Lytechinus pictus: one gene and its partner. The protein of the gene in region 2 purifies or fractionates together with the protein of the main gene of each other region. This does not show direct contact. Links are inferred from orthologs where the notes say so. Each region holds a gene or a part of one and is shown on either strand. Other genes may lie near its edges.

Region 1 (10,196 bases), on a different chromosome or scaffold from region 2:
CTTCAAATTCACATGAGATTGGCAAAAGTTCTTGAACTTGTAAGTGTTCGAGAACATAAATAGCTACTCCCCTCTTGTGTTTGCTTGGTAAAAAAAGTCGGTAGCCCGGCAAATTAAATTCAAATAGCTCAGTATCCGTTAGTGAGTTTTTGGGAAAGATCTCAGTCAATGCAATAATATCAGGTTTCTCTAAGTCAATTCGTATTTCCAATTCTTCCCGTTTGTTAAGAAGTGAGTCTACATTACTATACATGCATCTAAGGTGTTCTGGTGCTACATGTACATCAAAATGATCAGAAGAAACTGAAGATGTGGTATTTTGATAGTCTTTTCGATGTGTTTTAGTTTTCTTCTCGAAAGGATCTCGATTCGGTTTGGTTTTTATCAATTTCAGTGTTTTGTGTTTTTTTCACGAGTCTATCATTCTGTATCCTCCAGGTGGAGTCACCTGCCAACTGTCTTTTCTTCAGCTCCTTCACCAACTCTGCTCTTATTGACCGCTCCTTCTTCGTACGATCAGGCTGGATGTACACATCCTCCATTGATGATTCGTTTCTCAGTTGAATAGCACGCTTACATATGCTATCCCTGATGGAGCTACTGGGTAATTTTACTAATAGAGGACGTGGCTTAGAGTCTTGGCCAGGTTGACCGACTTTTCCAAGTCTTAAAGTCTTGAACTCACACTCGCAGTCAATTTTGAGAATATCAAATACTGAAGAAACTCTGGCGAGATCTTCATCTAATTTATCCTGCCTATCATCAGTTTCTTTTTCAGGTATGCCATGGATAATAACATTGCACCTTCTTTTGTCTTTCTCCTTTTCCTCGTCAAGGCATTCATTAACAATCAATTTCACTGAATCAGAGATACTGTATCCTGTGGTTCATGGCCATAGATTTTCATGTCTTCTCGTAAGTTCTTTAATTCAACATCAATTTTTGTGTACTGAATCTCAACTTCTTTCCAGTGATCAGCCATCACTTCAAGTTTCGACAATCTATCTCTTGTGTCACTTAAATTATTTTTGCATCTTTCTTCTACAATTTGGTCACATTTGATTGCTTCCATGGCTTTCTTTTCACATATCTTACAGAACCAATGTGCAGTTAAAACATTTCTAAAAAGTAAAAATTCATCCGGTGAGAGGGCGCAACATTTTGCACAAAACCATCCTTCGCATCTTTCACATTCTATACATGATTGGTTCTTGTTGAAGGGTTTTTTAAATTGTGCACAAGAATCAATATCTTCAGTTTTTGTCTCACCTGCATAGCAGAGTGAGACTATAGGCGCCGCTTTTCCGACGGCGGCGGCGGCGGCGACGGCGACGGCGGCGGCGACGGCGGCGGCGGCGTCAACACCAAATCTTAACCTGAGGTTAAGTTTTTGAAATGACAGCATAACTTAGAAAGTATATGGACCTAGTTCATGAAACTTGGCCATAAGGTTAATCAAGTATTACTGAACATCCTGCCTGAGTTTCATGTCACATGACCAAGGTCAAAGGTCATTTAGGGTCAATGAACTTAGACCATGTTGGGGGAATCAACATCAAAATCTTAACCTAAGGTTAAGTTTTTGAAATGTCATCATAACTTAGAAAATATATGGACCTAGTTCATGAAACTTATACATAAGGTTAATCAAGTATCACTGAACATCCTGCATGAGTTTCACGTCACATGACCAATGTCAAAGGTCATTTAGGGTCAATGAACTTTGGCCGAATTGGGGGTATCTGTTGAATTACCATCATAACTTTGAAAGTTTATGGATCTGATTCATGAAACTTGGACATAATAGTAATCAAGTATTACTGAACATCCTGTGCAAGTTTCAGGTCACATGATCAAGGTCAAAGGTCATTTAGGGTCAATGAACTTTGGCCTAATTGGGGTATTTGTTGAATTACAGCCATAAATTTGAAAGTGTGTTGGTCTAGTTCATAAAACTTGGACATAATAGTAATCAAGTATCACTGAACATCCTGTGCGAGTTTCAGGTTACATGATCAAGGTCAAAGGTCATGTAAGGTCAAAGAACTTTGGCCACGTTGGGGGTATTTGTTGAATTGCCATCATATCTCTATAAGTGTATTGGTCTAGTTCATAAAACGTGGAAATAAGAGTAACCAAGTATCACTGAACATCTTGTGCGAGTTATAGTAGTTTTCAAAATCAGCACTGCTGCTATATTGAATCGCGTGATGCAGGTGAGACGGCCAGAGGCATTCCACTTGTTTCTACATCAGTGTCCTTACGTCGTGACTTAGGTTTTAAAGTTTTTGATGGTTTTGTTACTTTCGTATTTCCTTTAGGATCACTTTGGGCATCCATATTGCAATATTCATTCACTGTACATCTACTCTTGACTAAGTTCAAGTTCACATGCAATAACGAAAGTATGGAATCGTATTCGTAAAAATCGTAGTGAACAGATGAAACGGTCACAGAACCACAGTTTCAAATGTCTAAAAATGTCATAAAACACACCTCATTGACGAAATATTGCAAATAAGTCTTTAATAAATATAAACAGTAAAATCGGCAATATAAATAAACTCACGACACCGCTTATCACACAACAGATGAAGGAAAATAACTTCGTCGACGTCAGTTCAAGTAGTGCTCGCCGCCATATTTAGGTACCGGAAGAGTGCTGCACACGAAATCCAGGTCCTATGTACCGGGGCCGGCTGGCCGGGTACGCACGTAGATCCCCGTTCACAGCGGGACGCAGTTACAAACGATGACCGACGAAGGAGAACAAATTTTCAATCCAAATCAATCCTCAATTTTCGTACATCAAAAACGATCAAAGTTTTTACTGGCTTGTAATATGACACCTAAGTCATCTATTTATTCAAATAGTATTAAAAATACGGATTTTAAAAGGATGAAAAATATATTAAAAACTTCCAAAATTAGAGCTGATAAAAATCACGTCCGCGTCAACCACACACACGCTGCTATTCTTACTCGAAATATGCGAGCTTTGTCCTCATTTGTTTATCATTTATTAAAAAATTGCCCATTAAATATAATAAACAACACAGAGTTTCACTTACAATGTACCATAGTGGGATGGAAGGACCTAACATTAAGGTATTAATTTTTCTTTGCTTGAAACCGCCTTCTCGAAATCATCGGATCTTATCGAAACTCGGTCAGTAATGAAATTGAATATTTGAGAACATTTTGTGAAAGTTTAATTGAATTTGGTTCGTAAAGCTAAGAGCCGGCGGAAATGAACTTCAATTTTGAGTGTTGTGAGGTGTTTGTGAATCTGACGCGACTGATCGAGCAGGGTTGTTTTGAGCGTATAGGAACAGCTGTGAGTGACGTCATCCCTGCTGCGATGGGCTCGAGATTAGTCTCGGTACTCAGACACAGTATGTTTCAGCCGTTGTATTTTTTTAAATTACGATTTGAGCTCTGTTAATTATGAAATTTAAATTGTTATTTTGAAAATAATTTTGTAGAATTCGTGCGAAATAAGTATTAAGAGCAAAACTGCAAGTAAACTTCAAGCATTTTGTTTGATAAGTAATTTTTTGTTAGAATGTGTCTGAATGTCTAGAATATGGTATTGTTAATGGAAGTCGTATTTTTGAATGGCACAGAAAGCTCCTTCCATGAATTTAATTTAGAAATAGGTTTCATGAATTTGATATCTGATTATGGACCTTTGTTATGGTGTTAATTATTATTTTGAAGATATTATGAAATAAGATAAGACAATAATGAGGCAATAGTGATGATGAGACGTTAATAATAATGAGAATAAATATTGAGACAATAATATTGTCCGGGGTAATTGTCGGGGTGGGGGGGTAATCATCCAGGGGTAGTCATATGCCAAATCAATCTGAGTACTTTAAGATTTAAATAAAAAGCTTGTACAATTCCCCATAAGCTATGTACATGTATTATATAAAGTGTGCCATTCCCAAAACAAAGAGAATAATAAGATTTTGCAATCGTCTTTTGTCCACAAAAAGCCCTGTTTTTGTATCACAAAGATGACAATAACTCGACTTCTAGATTTGAAAATTCCAACAGTTTTGTGAACAGATATTGAGCCTCATTGTGAGCATATCAAACATGCTGGAACAGCCTTTCTTAATTTTCACCTGGGCCCCGTTGCATAAAACTTTTGCCAGACTTATTTTTGCCATAGTTTTTCTATGGCAAAAAATGGGGGTGGGGGCTATGGGGGTGTCCCCCCTCCCGCGCAAAGCGCGGTAGTTATCGAAAATATCAATATCGACGAGCTTAGATTGCTGCTAAATGCACCACATTTTATGTCTATTTAATGCTTCTCCGGCCACACAGCCGTAACGGTTGCGCGAATTGCGATTGAAGCAGAAAGGCAATTACTGATAATTTAAAAATTGAAGTCAATCTCATTTTATACTTACAGTTTATAGATTATTTACATCGATAAATTAACTCCATAGTTTCCAATGTTCAGATCGATATCGCTACATCCTTAGAAAGTGCGATTAATTTTGTGAATGCGTGTTGTTTCTTATGTCAATGACCGACTGCATCTACGGACCGCATGCGTAGCCCGTGACGCGTGGTAGCGAGAACGTTGGGCCCCCCAAATTCTGATCTCGGCCGCCGTTCGCGCGATCGTGCCAAAATTTGGCACGCACATTCTTTGCCACATACAGTACAAGCCAGTATAAAAAGAATTCTGAAAATAATTATATTTTATTTGTTATGAATAAGATATGCAAATTTATTCGTGAAAAACATTATTTGCAAATTTAACACCCGATTTCACTTCAAATTTTCTCTTTTTTTCCAGATAAAGATGACATCTGAAATGTCATCTTTGTAAATAAAGGTCTCCATAAAGAATAATTGCGAAAGCCAATTTTTTCCTTATGTATTTCTTTGTTTTTTCATCTTTTGTTTTTCATTGTTTTTTTCAATGGGAATTATTACAGACCATTATTAACTAAATTAAACCCTGAAGTAATTAAGCAGACCAATTAGAAAAAAAAATTCACCCTTTTGTGAATATCAACTCCCCTAGACTTCGTACACAAAGTATAAAAATTAGCCATTTTCGGCATGACATTGTCTCATAAAAAGTCATGTGGCATCGCGATGCTATACCCGTAGGTCGCGAAATTGGTCTCAAAAGTTGAGATTACAAAGAAAAAAGTCATAAAATTTTGCGGTGCTACATGTATCTTTTCGCGTTTCAGAAATATCGCACGAAGCGTGAAAAAAGTCACAGAATTTTGCGATGCTTTTTTTTGCGTTTTAGAAATATTGCGGAAAGTGGGGGGGGGGGGGGGTGGCCATGATGCCCTCCAGTCCTTTTAGGGTTAATAGAAAAAAAAAACCATTTTTTTTCAATATTTGCTCACTTTCGTTAATGTCTGTATATGTTATGTTTATAGCTGGTTGTTTGTGAACAGTTTCTATAACCTTTCTCTTGTATGCTTATCTCATTTTAGGATGCACCCACTAAGAAATCAGGTGTCTCTTCCTACAGCTCAGATTGAGGAAGGAAATCTCACCCAAAAAGGTTTTAACTTATTCTGATTTTTCAAAGAGAAATAGTTAACAATCTTTGACAAGACTTCCATCATTATGTTCCCTCCATTGAACTTGAACTAAAAAAATTATGGTAAATGGAAAGGGTATGTACAGATATATGACATATATCTAAGAGATTTAGGAAAGAAAAGTTGGATACATACCAAAAAAAGGCATTTTTTGGTCTGCGTGGCATTATGTTCACGCATGGGAATAGTGTTTTTAATAGTCACTGCATCGGCACAGCAAAGCACAAATAGCACAGATGCTGTATATATCAATTTATCCAAGCTAGGAAGACAATATACATGTACAGTACTTTTTTTCAATAGATGCGGTATAAGGTATTCCAGCAATGTTTCGTGCAGGATTGAGTGTGTGTATTGAATTATTCCTGATCGCATCATTTTATTTAGTCAGAAAAATATATTCACTACACTCTTGGAGACTAGACTAGTCGCAATATCGGCATATAATTGCTGTGAAACCCATTGCTTTCAGCAATTCCTGCTTGCTCGGTGAGTTAGGCGACAGACTGGAGATACATCAGCTGTGATCGAGAGGTTCAAATCCAACTTGAAGTACATGTATTTGTACATGTAGAAAAGAAGAGGAAGAAATGGAGAACAAGAGAGGGGATGTTTGTTGTAGGAATTGTTTTAATTAGTGGAGGGGACATGATGGGAGTCTTTCCTAATTAATCTTTCTCATATTCTGTACTTAATATCAATTTAATCTATTTAGTTTCTCTTTTTCTTTTTCTTCTTTTTTTTTTGGGGGGAGCAAATTAGTTAATTCATGGTTAATGATGTTATTGTATGTACATGTAATTACAAGTGTCTCTTTTGCAGGAAAGCTATCCCGTGCTCTCCACTGATAAAATAAGAATCCACCTCGAAACCCAAACTCACTGGTTTCAGACCGCCTCGAAGTTCGCCGGTTCCAGGTATTCTCTGATCGGGAAATTTACCCCGGTGTGAAAGCAAACTACGCGTAATATCCCCGAAAGAAAATACCCGATAAATAGTAGGTACATGTACTTGGCGAAATTACGAGAACTTTCGCGGGGATTTTTCCAAGGTCGTGGGTATTTTGGCGGTCTGAAAGCAAATTACGGGAACTTTTAGCCCAGCGTGTCGTTGGGTGCGGCGCCGTGCATGGGTTGCTGCTGGGCTAGTGATTTTGAATTTCGCGCCTTGCTGCTTATCAGACCATACTGCGCATGCTCGTAACTTCAGGAACTTATCCCGAAGGGTATGTTTCAGGGCGGTGTGAATGCAGGAATAATTAATGGGTATTTTTCAGCCTAAAAAAGTTCTCGTAATTTAACGGGGATTCTTGTGATCGAGGCGGTTTGAAACCACCTACTGTCTTCTTTTTTTTTTTTACTTCCAGTAGGATTCAATTCTGATACTCCTTTTTTAGCCTTGGATTTATATGTATGTACTGTATGTAAGAGTTATGTTTAATATCAAAGGGAGCAGTTTCAAACTGAAAAGACACGGCAAGGAGAAGACTGCTCATTTGAGGAATTTTGTGACACACTCATTTTTTTTACATGGGGAAGGGCACCCAACAGACTCTCGCATAATATTGGCATGCGGTTGTATGTAATAGGCCTACATTTGGAGAAAATGATGGGTGGGATAGGGAAAGTGCACATGGGCGACATATGAGAATAATGCCACCCACTTTTTCCCTGAAATCTCTTAAGATACAGTATATTCTAATTTTGTTTTAGCATTTTATGAAAAAAAAATTATTGTCAAAATCACCCCTCCTTATTCGTCTACAATGTCCCCCATATGTTTTATACACAACCACAAATGAATATACAGTACATGTATGTGAAATATTGTTGGGCGCCCCTCCCAAGTGTTTCCTTGTATACGCGTTCTTTTGGCTTTCCAGTTTTCCCTTGTAGTGTCGTTGATATTTATAACTTGATTTTGCGACAAGTCTAGCATCAAAGCTACCTGTGGATTTATTTTTGTCTGACTAGATAAACCAATGCCATTGGCTATTGCATGCTCTAGATAACTTGATGGATTAATACAGGTTTAGAATATCAAAATACTTGCAAATTATGCTATTTTCAAAGAAAATAGAGGACCAAATAAATTAAATCAGAATTGCAGTTTGATTTTGTATCAATTCAAATGTTTTGCAGTTCAGAATTATAAACAAAAAGTCACTAACAGGCACAAATGACAAAATGTTAAACCCAAGCCTACTACATGTACATGTAATTGACTTACTATTATTATGATTTTTCTTTTTTTTTGTTAGCATTATTATTATTTACTGAATATGGTGATGCCGATAATGGTGCTGGTTTACGATGTTATAGTTATCATTTCCATTATTTGTTGTTGTCATTATCTTTTCATTTTCTCTATCGATTGATGAATTCCTAGTGCTTGAAGCATCTTTAGATGAGGCAGAATGGGATGAAGATGATGAAGGAGAAGATGATGATGACTATTATGACTGGGAAGATGAAAGCACAGGTTAGTGGACAAGATTGTAGTAAAAAATATGCATCTTTTTGTGCAAGTTTAATTTTATTGTTTGATCTTCTTCGACTCTTACTGTTTGCTTCCATGTATTGCTGTGAACTTGGCCAAGCAATTACATACATGTTCATGTTTTTATGGTGATACTGATGGTTAGTGATATTATTGACATCCCGATCATAATTTTCTGGTGATGTCACGATGGTCTGATGCTGTTGAAGATAAGTTCACGTTCATCTTCTTCTTTTCCTCCTCCCCACTGCTGTCTTTATCTTCTTTTTTTCCTGATAAATATATATACTTGTTCTGCTTCTGCTACATGTACATTCTTTATCGCTGTTGTAAAATAAAAACATGAAAAATATTCAATATCTTTCAGATTTTACAAAGAAGTTCAATGCTGTACGAGCGTGTAACCCTCAGGTAAAGTAAATACTGATATGAATACGCGTTTGGTACTGAAAATCGTATTGAAACAGCCTTAAAAACGGACATACATGTACTGAAGGTTTTTTACATGTACTCTGCGGAGTAAAATCACATGAATGACCAGAATGCTAGAGTGAAACAATGTATGTACTTGTATAATAGAACCAAATGACTTGTGACCATTGTCTCATGTTATTAGACTCTGATGAGTGCATGTCGAAAAGCTTCAGTATGACATATCCGTTTTTATGGCTACTATATGGGTTTGACCACTAGGGCCACATGTTATACATGTATGATATTGGGTGGCTCAGAATGGAATACCAGAAATCTACCAAGTGAGAGGGCCAATATTGTCCGAATACATGTAGTAGATGCCTGCTGATGTCCTATTAACCAATCATAAAGTGATTGAGTAAATCATGCCTGTTATCACAATAAGTTGTCTTTTATTTAAGTATCTTCCCCTCGTTTCGATTGTGTCATTCTTTACCCAATCTCCTCTATTCTTCGTGCTTCCAAAGATGTTTTCTGTTCTAGGGCCCTGTTGTATAAAAATGAACTTTGCCATCCAATACAATGCCTGGTTATGATGTTGAAAAATCTTAACAACCAATCAGAATAAAATGATTTATGGAAGTAACCATGATTAGACGGCTAAGTTTATACCATTATCACTTTCAGCCCCTAGATCTTGACATTCTTTGAATTTTTCACATTCACGTTGTGTTGTCATTCCTGGTGGGTGTTCCATAAAGCTGTTCATGACTTAATGTACAGCTGGGACATGTTCTTAGGTGCTAAGTCAGCTACAGAGGGATATACCATTTAGCACAAAAAAGGGTCACCAGTCGTGCGTTAAGTCATCATAACTTACAAACAACTACATGTATGTGAAACACCCATTTGCATATTCATTGACTTGCTTCTACCCATATTTCCTTATCGCACAGTCTAAACCCGGAATGAACCCAGCCAGCCACAAAGAGGCCTCTTCATTTCAGGTCAGTTTATTTTCTTTCTTTTTTTTTTGTGTTTTTTTTTTTGGCGGGGGGGTGGTAACTTTTGCTAGGAATGAGTTCCATGCTCCACCTTTCTCTGGTAATCCATACCTGCTGCGAGATTTGACTGTCCCTTTCATAGTCTTGTTTTTTTCTTTCCCAGCCCCATGAAAAGTCAATGCACCGATACGCCAGCAAGGTAACAGTTGATAAATACTCCGGTCCACGCTCTCTTTCCAACTCAGCCACCAACTCTCTAATGAAGACTAACAAGAAAGTGGAATCAGACAGGTATTCCAACCATTATAGAAAGACATAGGCTTACATGACAAAGGTCTTATTAAATATAAAAAAAGAACTGAACTTTTATTCATGTTTTATTTAATATTATTAATGAAAAAGCACCCACGAGAGAAAAAAAGTCAAATTCGTGCAGACAGTTTCAAGACATCTGTGACTGTAAAGTCATCATGTACTATCTCATTCGGAGATCAACTCATAATAATGTAAGGGATGAAATTAGGTGCTTGAATGTGGGGTTGTAATTTTTTAAGCAATCTGCTTTATTGTCAATCCTCCTGCTAACAAATCATTTTGTTTGGATTGATAGGTTAGCACAGTTTAGCTATGATTCATGCTTATGAAAAATGTGTTTTACGAGTGGTACGAATGCAGAAGAAAACAATAA
Region 2 (10,206 bases):
ATCAACCTCGTGGTGATAGCTGACCCCGCCATAAACTTTTAAAGACTGTACTATTGACGGAGCTTATTGCGTTGCTCTCTTACATCGTTTATGATGATATACATTTTATTTTTAATCTCGTGGTGATAGCGGATGCCGCCTTGAACTAGTGCTGTAGCCGAACCGCCGAACCGAACGGTAGTTCGCCGAACATGGCACTTCCGAACCGAACAGAACCGAACCGAACACTAAGACTTGGTTCGGAAGTTCGGCAAAAAAAAAAAAAAACGGCTTTCAGCTAATAAATTTATACATGTAAGTTTACACCCTTTCTAATCATTATATTTGCGCATTCTCTAATCTTCTTTGCAATTGTATGTTGGAAGTATGCGCTTATTTTGCGGTTACTAGATTTTGTTTTCATTTTCATGTTGACATTGTGGTTTTTACGGCCCTGATTAAGAAAGGAGATCCGATGAATGATGTTGCGCGAGCTTGCGCTATAATCATTTTACTGGCTTTCATCATCTCTCGCTCTGTGGCCGAATCGCCGAAGCATGGTAAAGAAAACCAAAACTGTATGAGTGTTCATTGGTTAAATCTAATTATTTAAATATTGTTGTTTTTAGGTGGCGAACAAGATTCTTGTTTGAAAATCTTCAAAGTATTTTGAATGAACGAGCTCAATAAACTGAAAGTGAAAGATGAAGTACCATTAATATTACGAATTACGATACGTGATGAAGATCGTAACTCGTGTATTGTTGCGGCGGAGAATAAAGATCTGATTGAGGTGATTAACATTATTATTGAGGTGTCGGCTCGCTACTGTCTAGTTTTCATGATTCTAGAGAGAAGTAAAGAGTTTTGAAAACGAGAGATCCAGTGAAAGTGGGAAATAAAGTGAGTGACTGTTAGAGATGGAAAGGAGAGACGCAAAACAAATAATATAGAAATGAGATGAGGTGAAGTTATCTTTTTTATTATTAACAATCAGATGAAAATAAAAATCAAACACTCATGAATGATTACGGTATAGCATATAGCAAGATCCCCTTCCCCTCGTTGAAAAGTTGAATGAAGATAAAGCGGAAACAGTCATCTCTTGGGGGAAAATGACCCCCAATCTTTACTTTTTTCCCTTTCTTATCAACTTCTCAAATTAACCATAAACAATTCGATGATCACTCTACTCCCCCTGTCCCATTACAGTCGTAAAACTTTGCATCCCACTTTGTCTGTATGTTCATGGTCGAATGAAATCTGACCAATAAAATCATAGAAATCTCGGCAATTGCTTTTCAATCGGTGAGCTGAGTTTCGCGGGTGACAAAGCACGTGGCTGTATGTACCAATGCGACAATCAGCGACATGCGATTGGTGGTTTAGTTCACCCATCGAGCCAATTAGCGAAAGGCGCATTACATAAGCACGCTTTCTTCGACACGCCCCTGGCCCTACTATGCCTGCAGTTCAGTGCACTGGCGCTGGCCGCCTCGTATGTGATGCAATGGCCAATCACGTTTGGCCGGACTGTAAATATAAATATTCATGAGCTCAGAGTCCCGCTACAAGGGGACTGCATGCGCTGGCCTAACTGGTACCGGTACGAGTGCGAGCGTAGTTAATTTGGCAAGTATCCAAAGCGTGGTCCAGGTATGGACGACGAGGAAGAGTCGCCATTTTAGAACTGTGAGTTACCCAATAAATCTGTCATCAGATAATCAAATTCGAGATAACAGTTGATTCGTTGAGCGCTATAACTTTCATAGTTTCATGTCAGCAAGATAGAGATAAAATGGTTTGATGTGACAGAGGACACGCGAGCACATGCAGTCAATCAAGTACAAATTGTCTACCGAAACGCTACGTATACCTGAATGAACTATAACTTTTATCAGTCTATCATTACCGAACCCCGAACCGAACCAATGTTCGGCAATTTTCTGCCGAACCTTGCCGAACCGAACCGAACCCGAACATGGCGCCTGACTTGCAGCACTACCTTGAACTTTGAAAGGTCGTATTACCGACGGAGCTCACTGCGCTACTCTCTTACCCCCTTTTTTGATGATAGACATCTTCTCCGTGAACTTCAAATTGATTTGAAAACGCTAGCTACCCAAAACATTTTAATAACATTTCAAATCATCGTGCGTGCTTGCGTCTTCTACTTCATTTTAATTGCACTTGCGACTTTAAGATGATGCGTCGTAAGAGATCATTCCAATAATTCTAAATCGCTAGCACCTAAAAATACTTCTAAAAGATGTCCCGCCGATCGTTCATTAACCTCTGATCTATGAGAAATATTTTCATTTTATTTTCCTTTGCGCCTTTGCTCGGAAGATGCGTCTTTCGTTTATCTTTCTAATAAAAATCACTCGGTTTATTTTAAAGCAATAACACCTCAAAACCCCTGGCTTTAAAACATGTTCCAAACGATCGCGCATGTTGGCGACTTCCATTCCAATGCATTCGTCTTTGTGACTTTGTCAGGAAGATGCGCGCGACCGCGAACAACATTTTGATGTCATTATTCCTTTGTTTTTAAACATCGCCGATTCGATTTTCGATTCGATTTCGATTTTAGAAGCTTAACTGCCGATCCGATTTTCGATCTGATTTTTGATCCGATTTACAACATTAACTGTATCAGACCTAGACCAAAAGCTTCTGTCTCTGTTATTGGTTGTTCCGCTGAACTCCGTTGGCTCCACTCGACAATTACAGAGACCGAAGTTCTAACCCGATCTGTACAGGGACTTGATCTCTGTATGTTTATGTATGAAGTTCGGATGAACCAGTGAAAATGGCGTTGCGCGACAGCCAAAGTCACTGGTTTTTTCCTTTTGAAGTTTATTTTTCCCCGTTTTGGTGCATGCCATTTCAGGCCAAAACGGAATACATGTACTTTAATTTAGTCCAGTTCTTTTTATATATTTTTATGAAATAAAGACAAGAATCGATGAGTCCCGGCATCGGAGGGATCACAGGCTTCACAGCTGGATTTTGCATTGTTAACCCCCTAATGGCGGCTGCACGATCGCGAGCCGTCTGTGTACGAGAATTAAAAAAAAATTAAAAATGTTAAAAAACTCCGCGAAACAGACTGCTGCCAGCTGTCTATATCAGTCCTACCTCGAGCGAAGTTCATGCAGGCTCCACTCCACTTCACATCCTCACACATATAAATAATTCGCTGCCGGTTTCAAAACATCGCATGCGCGAGGGTCCGAGCTTGGACCGGACCCGGCACCTCGCACATACAATGTATCGCATCCGCATGCGATGTTTTGAAATTGGCAGCGAATTATTTATGTGTGAGGAACTTCATGTTGGCTCTAAACTAAATCACCAATTTTGAGACTGATAGAAGCATGGAAAAGAAGTGAAACTTAGTGTAAAGTAAGAATATTATTATTAGTTTTATTGTTTTTATTAAATATCGTGATGTTGCATGAATTTTATATTTCCCCCCCATAAAACCCCACCTTTCATGTCCTTTGTCACTCGGAATATCAGATCGAGTTCACGGTCTCGAAGTTCGGGTTGGTGGAGCGTAGTGTAGCGGTAGTGGACTCTGTGGAGTGGAGCCTGCACGAACTTCGGGTTGGTGGAGCGTAGACGTACATGCATGTAGTGACTAGTGACTGTAGCTAGCGCCAGTAGCGGTAGTGAAGTGGAGCCTGCACTGCAGGCTGCACGAACTTCGCTCGATCGTATCAGACCACATGCATCAGTAGGCCTACCGAATTTGGAGCCCATTATCCAGCCTTTCACAAGCTTCATTCTCTCTCATTAGCCGACCCCCTGGCAAAAATAATCCGGAACGACCAGGCCATGCTGCATGCATGCATGTCGGGCGCGGCGCTTGCTGCAGGATCAGGAATAAATCCCAGCGCAATTTGTACCGGGTCCAGGCCGACTCTTCCCCGATCATGACGGCTAGAGTTTCGTCTAAATGGAGTCTCTGATCATGCCCGACAGGCGCGGCGCAGCGCGCACGCCTTATTACTTAGTTTTTTTTACCTTTCAGCTATGTATAATGTCCCCTTAGACAAGTCTTGTTTCTCCACGAAAGCAATGGTGTCATCTTTCTGCCACCTCACTGATGACTGTGGAGGTTGAATTGAAGCGATAAATCCCATCATTATTTCCCTTCTTTTTTTTCAAGACACCCGCGTGATGGCGATATCTTCATCGAATCGACTAAATTTCGTTGGGTTCATTCGACAGAGATGGCGCTGTGCCAAATAAGGTCCATGGCCATGGTTCAACATCGACCGTTCAATTCAATTTTTATTTTGGGGGTTTTCGGAAAAAAATGTAGATTTTTCATTGAAAGACTGTTTTGTGTGTGTGTCAGATATTAAAAGGTAAATTATTAGAGGCTTATTTTTTTATAAAACGTATGGATTTTTTTTTATAAAACGTATAGGACGTATAAAAGGCATAGGGGAGGGGTAAGGTACCGAAGAGGAGAAAAAATACCGAGGAGAAAAGGGGAGAGAAATGAATGAAGAAGAGAGAATAGTATGAAAATTAGAAGTCGTAGACACAAACTCGTCTCTATTTACCCATATAACTAAAAATGTCTCTAGAGAAAAGTATAGCCTAGGCTAGTAGAAATGAACGACAAGTGCCCATCATTAGCTTTCGATCAACTCACACTAGTCTTCCGCTGAGAGAACCCCGATCGATCTATTAAGTCATTTTTTTTAGTGAAAAATCTTTAAACATGGGGTATTGTATTGGGGTATCAGTTTGAGCTTGAAAATCTGTAAAGGATAAGCCCACCCCAACAAAAAGATGGTTTGAATAAAAAGAGAAAAATCAAACAGGTATAACAAATAAATTTTCATCAAATTCGGATGTAAAATAAGAAAGTTATAACATTTTTAAGTTTTGCTTAATTTCACGTAATAGTTATTCACATACTGGTCGGCATGCAAATGAGGGTACTGATGACCCCGGGCTGATGGCATCCACTCTTTTGTATTTCATTACATGGAATATGAAATATTCTAATTTTCTTCTCGTTGTCATGTGAAACAAAGTTTTATTCCTCCCTGAACATGACTGAGTAATTATCATTAACATTTTGTGATTCTATAACTATAGTAGGCCTATCAAGAGGGTCATTATTGTCAAATCTGCAAAAATTTAAATAGTTATTTTAAACAATAAAAAACAAAAGAAATAGTGAGTCAGGAACATCATCGACTCTCTCATTTGCATTTTAATGAGTTATTTATACAACTGTTTTGTGAAAAATATACGCGAAACTTTAAAGTGTCATAACTTTTTTATTTTATATCCGATCATTTGATGGAATTTTCAGTGTTATGCTTTTTTTATTTTTCTCTTCAAATTAACTTGTTTTTTCCTAGGTGAACTAGACCTTTAAACATACCTTGTAAATGATTTTGTCTTTTCGTAAATTTAACCCATTTAAGTCATTTTTTCCCAGTTTTCCAACAAACTTCAATTTTTGCGTCCGTCAGTAAACAATTTTTTTTTTAAAGTTACACATGCCATTACAAACGACTAGAACACAACATGGGTCTCTTTTAGGAAGAAAATCCGTAATAATAATGGGTACCCCCTTTCACAAAAAATAATTGAAAATAGGCACGAGTTTCAATTAAGGCTTCATCTGTACAACCCCTCCGGACCGATAAATCGTTGATTTGGCTCAACAGGTTGTGGAGGCTGAAAAAATACAATTATTTACTTTTTTCATATTTTTTTTCTTTATTTTATTTTGCCGGATCTCGTGATTATGAATTTTAACTATCAGTATCTTTAAAACCCCAACCTGAGAAACCAATTAATTGAATGCTTTATAAACATGATTTTGTACTCCATTTTTTTTCAGCCTCCACTTTCTTTTTCAATAAACGTATTTATTATTATTATCATCATCTCATTGGGATTTTTTTATTTTTTTAAATATACATATCTTCATTGAGCATTGAGAGTCAAATTAAGAGAATATGCAAATGATATGTTATACCAACCTGAATACAGACCGTGATCTTTTCTCCTCTGTCAGGTAATTTTATTTTACATAAATATGATTGATTTTTTTTTATAGATATGTATGTCCTTTTTTCTTTTCCTTATTTTTCTTTTATCTTTTTTCCTTCTATTCTCCTCTTCGTGTTGTTATTGTTGTTGTTCTACGTGTTCTTTTTCTTCCTTTCCTCCTCAATTCTTCTTCCGTAATTCTTCTCCTCCTCCTCCTTCTTCTTCTTCTTCTTAATTTCTTCTTCTTCCGTTCTTCTTCTTCTTCTCTTCTTTATATATTTTTCTTGTATATATCATCTCTATATCTTATTCATTGCTTAAAGTGAATTGTGATTTCCTTTTTGTGTGTAAATAGTATAAATTTACCTTTTATTATTTCAATTCTATTTTGGCCTACATATCGATCGAGGACCCCACTGGAAATAAGCTTTCGAGCTTTCGTGGGTCTTCCTTTGAAAGCCTTTAATGTTATTATGTTGTGGCCGGTGACTTACCAAGTAAAATTCATCCATCCATCCATCCAGTGGCGCTGGCGTACCTAGGATTTTCCACAGGGGGGGGGGGGGGGCAAATTCGTCCGCCAAAAAAATTTGACAAGCAAAAAAAAAAAAAAAAAAAAAAAAAAGGTCTTCAACCACAAATAAATGATTTTGTACCAGATAAAAATTTGACAAGCAAAAAAAAAGGTCTTCAAGACTCGTCAGGGGGGGGGGCAGGCATATGTCCCTTGCATGGGTTGTGACTCGTCAGGGGGGCAGTCTGCCCCCTCTGCCCCCCCCCCCCCCCCGTAGGTACGCTAGTGCATCCATCCATCCACCCATCCATCCATCCCCCATCCATCCGTCAGTCAATCCATCCATCCACCCATCCATCCATCCATCCATCCATCCATCCATCCCCCATCCATCCATCCATCAATTAATCAATCAATAGCCCCTCTCCCATGCCGATCGTGTGGCCGTGGGGACGGGGCCCTAATTCTGTGACTACTGTTTCTCGCTGATCCTCAAGTATCGCAATATGCATAGGACATAGCCCTTGAGAGAGGAATCAGCGAACCTCTTGCACACTTCACTGTTGATGTTGTCGACTTCCGCTAGCTGCGGATTATATTTTTAGGAGTGGCTTTTTGGCAAATTTTATCGATCACCGATGACAAAAACGTGAGTGTTTCTATCAACTTAATACTTGTTATTGAAAGCCTTTGATGTTGTGAGCTAGAATACTTTTAAACCACCAATTTCCAGTATATTTCCTATGTATTAGCAGTTCCTATAGTCAGAAATTGTATTTATTTATGGAAATTCTATCGCGCTCAGCATGAGTCAACGGAGAAGCAGTTAGCGAATGCAGCGGATTCTGAATGCTTCGCATACCGGAGTTGCCCCTAAGCACGTCGGCGAGTTAGAGGTCAAACCCGCTAGCTGAGAAACGTCTACTGCAGTGGTATCTGATTACAGTGCTGGGTAGCATGTATTTTAGACGTTTTCTTTACAATTATTGTAAATGATCAAATAGAAATTCCCATATGATGTAGGGCATGTAACTCTTAGCCTTTAGGACTAGTACTAGTACTAGTAGTAGTAGGACTAGGACTCACTATTTGTATAAAATTAAAAGTACTAGTGATGGCAGTGTATATAGGGCCTAGTAATAGTATTATTATTGCCTGACATGACACCTTTAATATTTTCAGTGCTTTAAAAATGACAACTAGAGGAAATGCAATCAAGAAAAATTCACGCTTGCTTTTCCAAATATTATGAAAATTATGAATATGATAACATTATTTTATATTTACCAACCTATTTCTTCGTATCGCACTTGCCGCATACCCCTCCACGAAAAACCATTATTTTTGTGCGCGACAAATTACATCATGATTCCGGACGCGCGCCGGACGGGTAAAGATATCCTTGATTATAATGATGTAAGAACAAATTTTTGTGATTTTTTTCTTCTTTTATCATATCATGAGTAAATTCTAAGTATTATTTGCTTTTTTTATATCGAATCTGAGCAGATGTTGGTAATAAATTCGTGTTTGATAACTTTTTGTCTTGTTAGCTGCATGTTCCATGGCACTTTCCAATAATAATATGCACGCGTTCGTATCGTGACGCTCATCAAGTTCTATCGATGCGCTGCCGATCGACGGCTCTACTCACGGTAAACCTCGCGCACGGGTACCTTGAGAACTAGCCGTCAACGATCACCCACAATGCCCCACACCTCGTCATTCGATCGAAGGAGTGGACGAGATTGAAATTCGGCAAATCAGGCCCATATTTCCGTTAGAAAATATATCAATTGTTAATACAAAACTATGTTATATGATATTTTAAGCATTTTCTGTAATTTTTAGAGATAATTAGGTAAAAGTTTGATTTTTTGCTTTGTTTTTGCAATCTTGTTCTATGTATTGCTCTGTGAAATTGAATTGCGGAAGTCTTACGGTACGAATTTGTTTTAGAACGCAGTGATACGCGCGTCCGGAAACATAATAGTGTCCGGTAATACAATACGTGACTATACTACTCAGTCAGACGGCAGGTCCCAAGAAAGTGGCTTCTTTCATCCAAGTGATAATTGATATTCATGACTTGAGATGTTTTGCATATTTAATGAGCTTGATGCGGACCAAAACACCTCTTTTCATTCGGTCTTTGCTGCTCTACTTGTGCATCGAATTTCATGAATTTGGTATCATTGTAAAGAAGAAGAATCATTCTTTTAGTTTTAGGTCATGTGTTTGAATTCATTCAAAGATTTTGTAATATACTGTAGGTTAAAATTTTGATCTAAAATATGCTACAAAATAATTATTTTCACATGAAAAAAGCTGCTTATTTTTGTTTGAGCCCAAATGATTTTTAGATCATGATAAAGCTGAATATGTATGCTTTAAAATGACATAGGTTTCAAAATAAGAATTGGTTTAATCGGGTCAAGATCACACTTTTCATTTGCCAAGTACATAAAGCAGCATGAAAACAAGAATACTGCACTCTGATTGGTCAAAGAGACCACACACTGGCAAATTCCAACGGTTCCAGTGCCTGGGTTCATGGGAAGGTCACACTTCCCATGTGGTAATCTCCTCAAATACCCCGCGCCTGTTGTTCTGTGAACCTTATCCAGCCAATCAGAACTCTGGATTTCATGCATGTACAAAATTTCAGAAATCTCGTCTTGTACCTTGGTGGGAAAAGTGTGATCTTGATCCGATTAAAAGGTGCCGCATATCAAGAGTGGCATTGTGAGAAAGTACAGAAGTTCAGCTTTATGGTGATATAGATATCATTGAGGCTCAAAATAAAAAGTTTTGCACAATTTGCAAAAGAAAACAGAGGAAGAAAATTCAGTTTTGAGGCACATTTTCAGGCCAGAAATTTACTTATTTAACAAAATATTGTATACAAAATAAATGACCAATATGAAAGAGTAACATTTACTCTATCTGATGGTGCAATAATATTTCATTTAACTTGAGGTTAAAACAGGTAAATTCTAAGAGAAAGAAAATCTCACGAATCACGAGATTTTGCAAGGAGGAGGATTCAGCCACGAGATGATTTGGATGAATCTGGCCTTTTTGCTCATTAGCATAGGGACCTGCGGTCTGACTGTACTGGTACTACTTTACTAGTAATAGGTACATTACATGTGATGTAGGGGGGTTAATAAGAACTGAACTAAAAAATAGGGCAGGCGGCAGTCACAATTTGTGTTGTCTTTTTGGTTGTGTTGCTGTCCATAATTAATAATCATCTAGACTATTAATAAAGTTACTGTCTACGTTAACTAGACTAAGACACATGTAGATCTAAGTCTAAGTGTTAAGTGTCGTACACGAAGATATCTACATTATTATATTATACATGTAGTAAATATACATGTTACTTCACATTATTAAAGGACAAGTACACCCCAACAAAAAGTTGATTTGAATAAAAAGAAAAAAAAATCCAACAAGCATAACACTGAAAATTTCATCAAAATCAGATGTAAAATAAGAAAGTTATGACATTTTACAGTTTTGCTCAATTTTCACGAAACAGTATACATGTATGCACATGCATCCTGGTCGGTATGCAAATGAGGAGACTGATGACGTCATCCACTCACTATTTATTTTGTATTTTATTATATGAAATATGAAATATTCTAATTTTCTCCTCATTGTCAAGTGAA

The links.
Region 1: the proteins of methylosome subunit pICln-like (region 2) and serine/threonine-protein kinase RIO1-like purify together in Homo sapiens (affinity purification with mass spectrometry; 3 studies listed by BioGRID and IntAct, with this or other methods). This does not show direct contact. The link is inferred for Lytechinus pictus from reciprocal best matches to the Homo sapiens genes CLNS1A and RIOK1.

What each region holds. Positions count from the first base shown.
Region 1 is NC_087261.1:7,179,134-7,189,329, forward strand, and holds the start of serine/threonine-protein kinase RIO1-like, read left to right. Parts: upstream 1-5,481; coding exon 5,482-5,551; intron 5,552-7,979; coding exon 7,980-8,072; intron 8,073-8,457; coding exon 8,458-8,501; intron 8,502-9,460; coding exon 9,461-9,511; intron 9,512-9,671; coding exon 9,672-9,799; intron 9,800-10,196. UniProt on the Homo sapiens protein: Involved in the final steps of cytoplasmic maturation of the 40S ribosomal subunit. Involved in processing of 18S-E pre-rRNA to the mature 18S rRNA. Required for the recycling of NOB1 and PNO1 from the late 40S precursor.
Region 2 is NC_087260.1:17,722,874-17,733,079, reverse strand, and holds the start of methylosome subunit pICln-like, read right to left. Parts: upstream 4,223-10,206; 5' UTR 4,134-4,222; coding exon 4,012-4,133; intron 1-4,011. Other genes in the region: LIM and senescent cell antigen-like-containing domain protein 1, read left to right, coding at 7,165-7,175. UniProt on the Homo sapiens protein: Involved in both the assembly of spliceosomal snRNPs and the methylation of Sm proteins.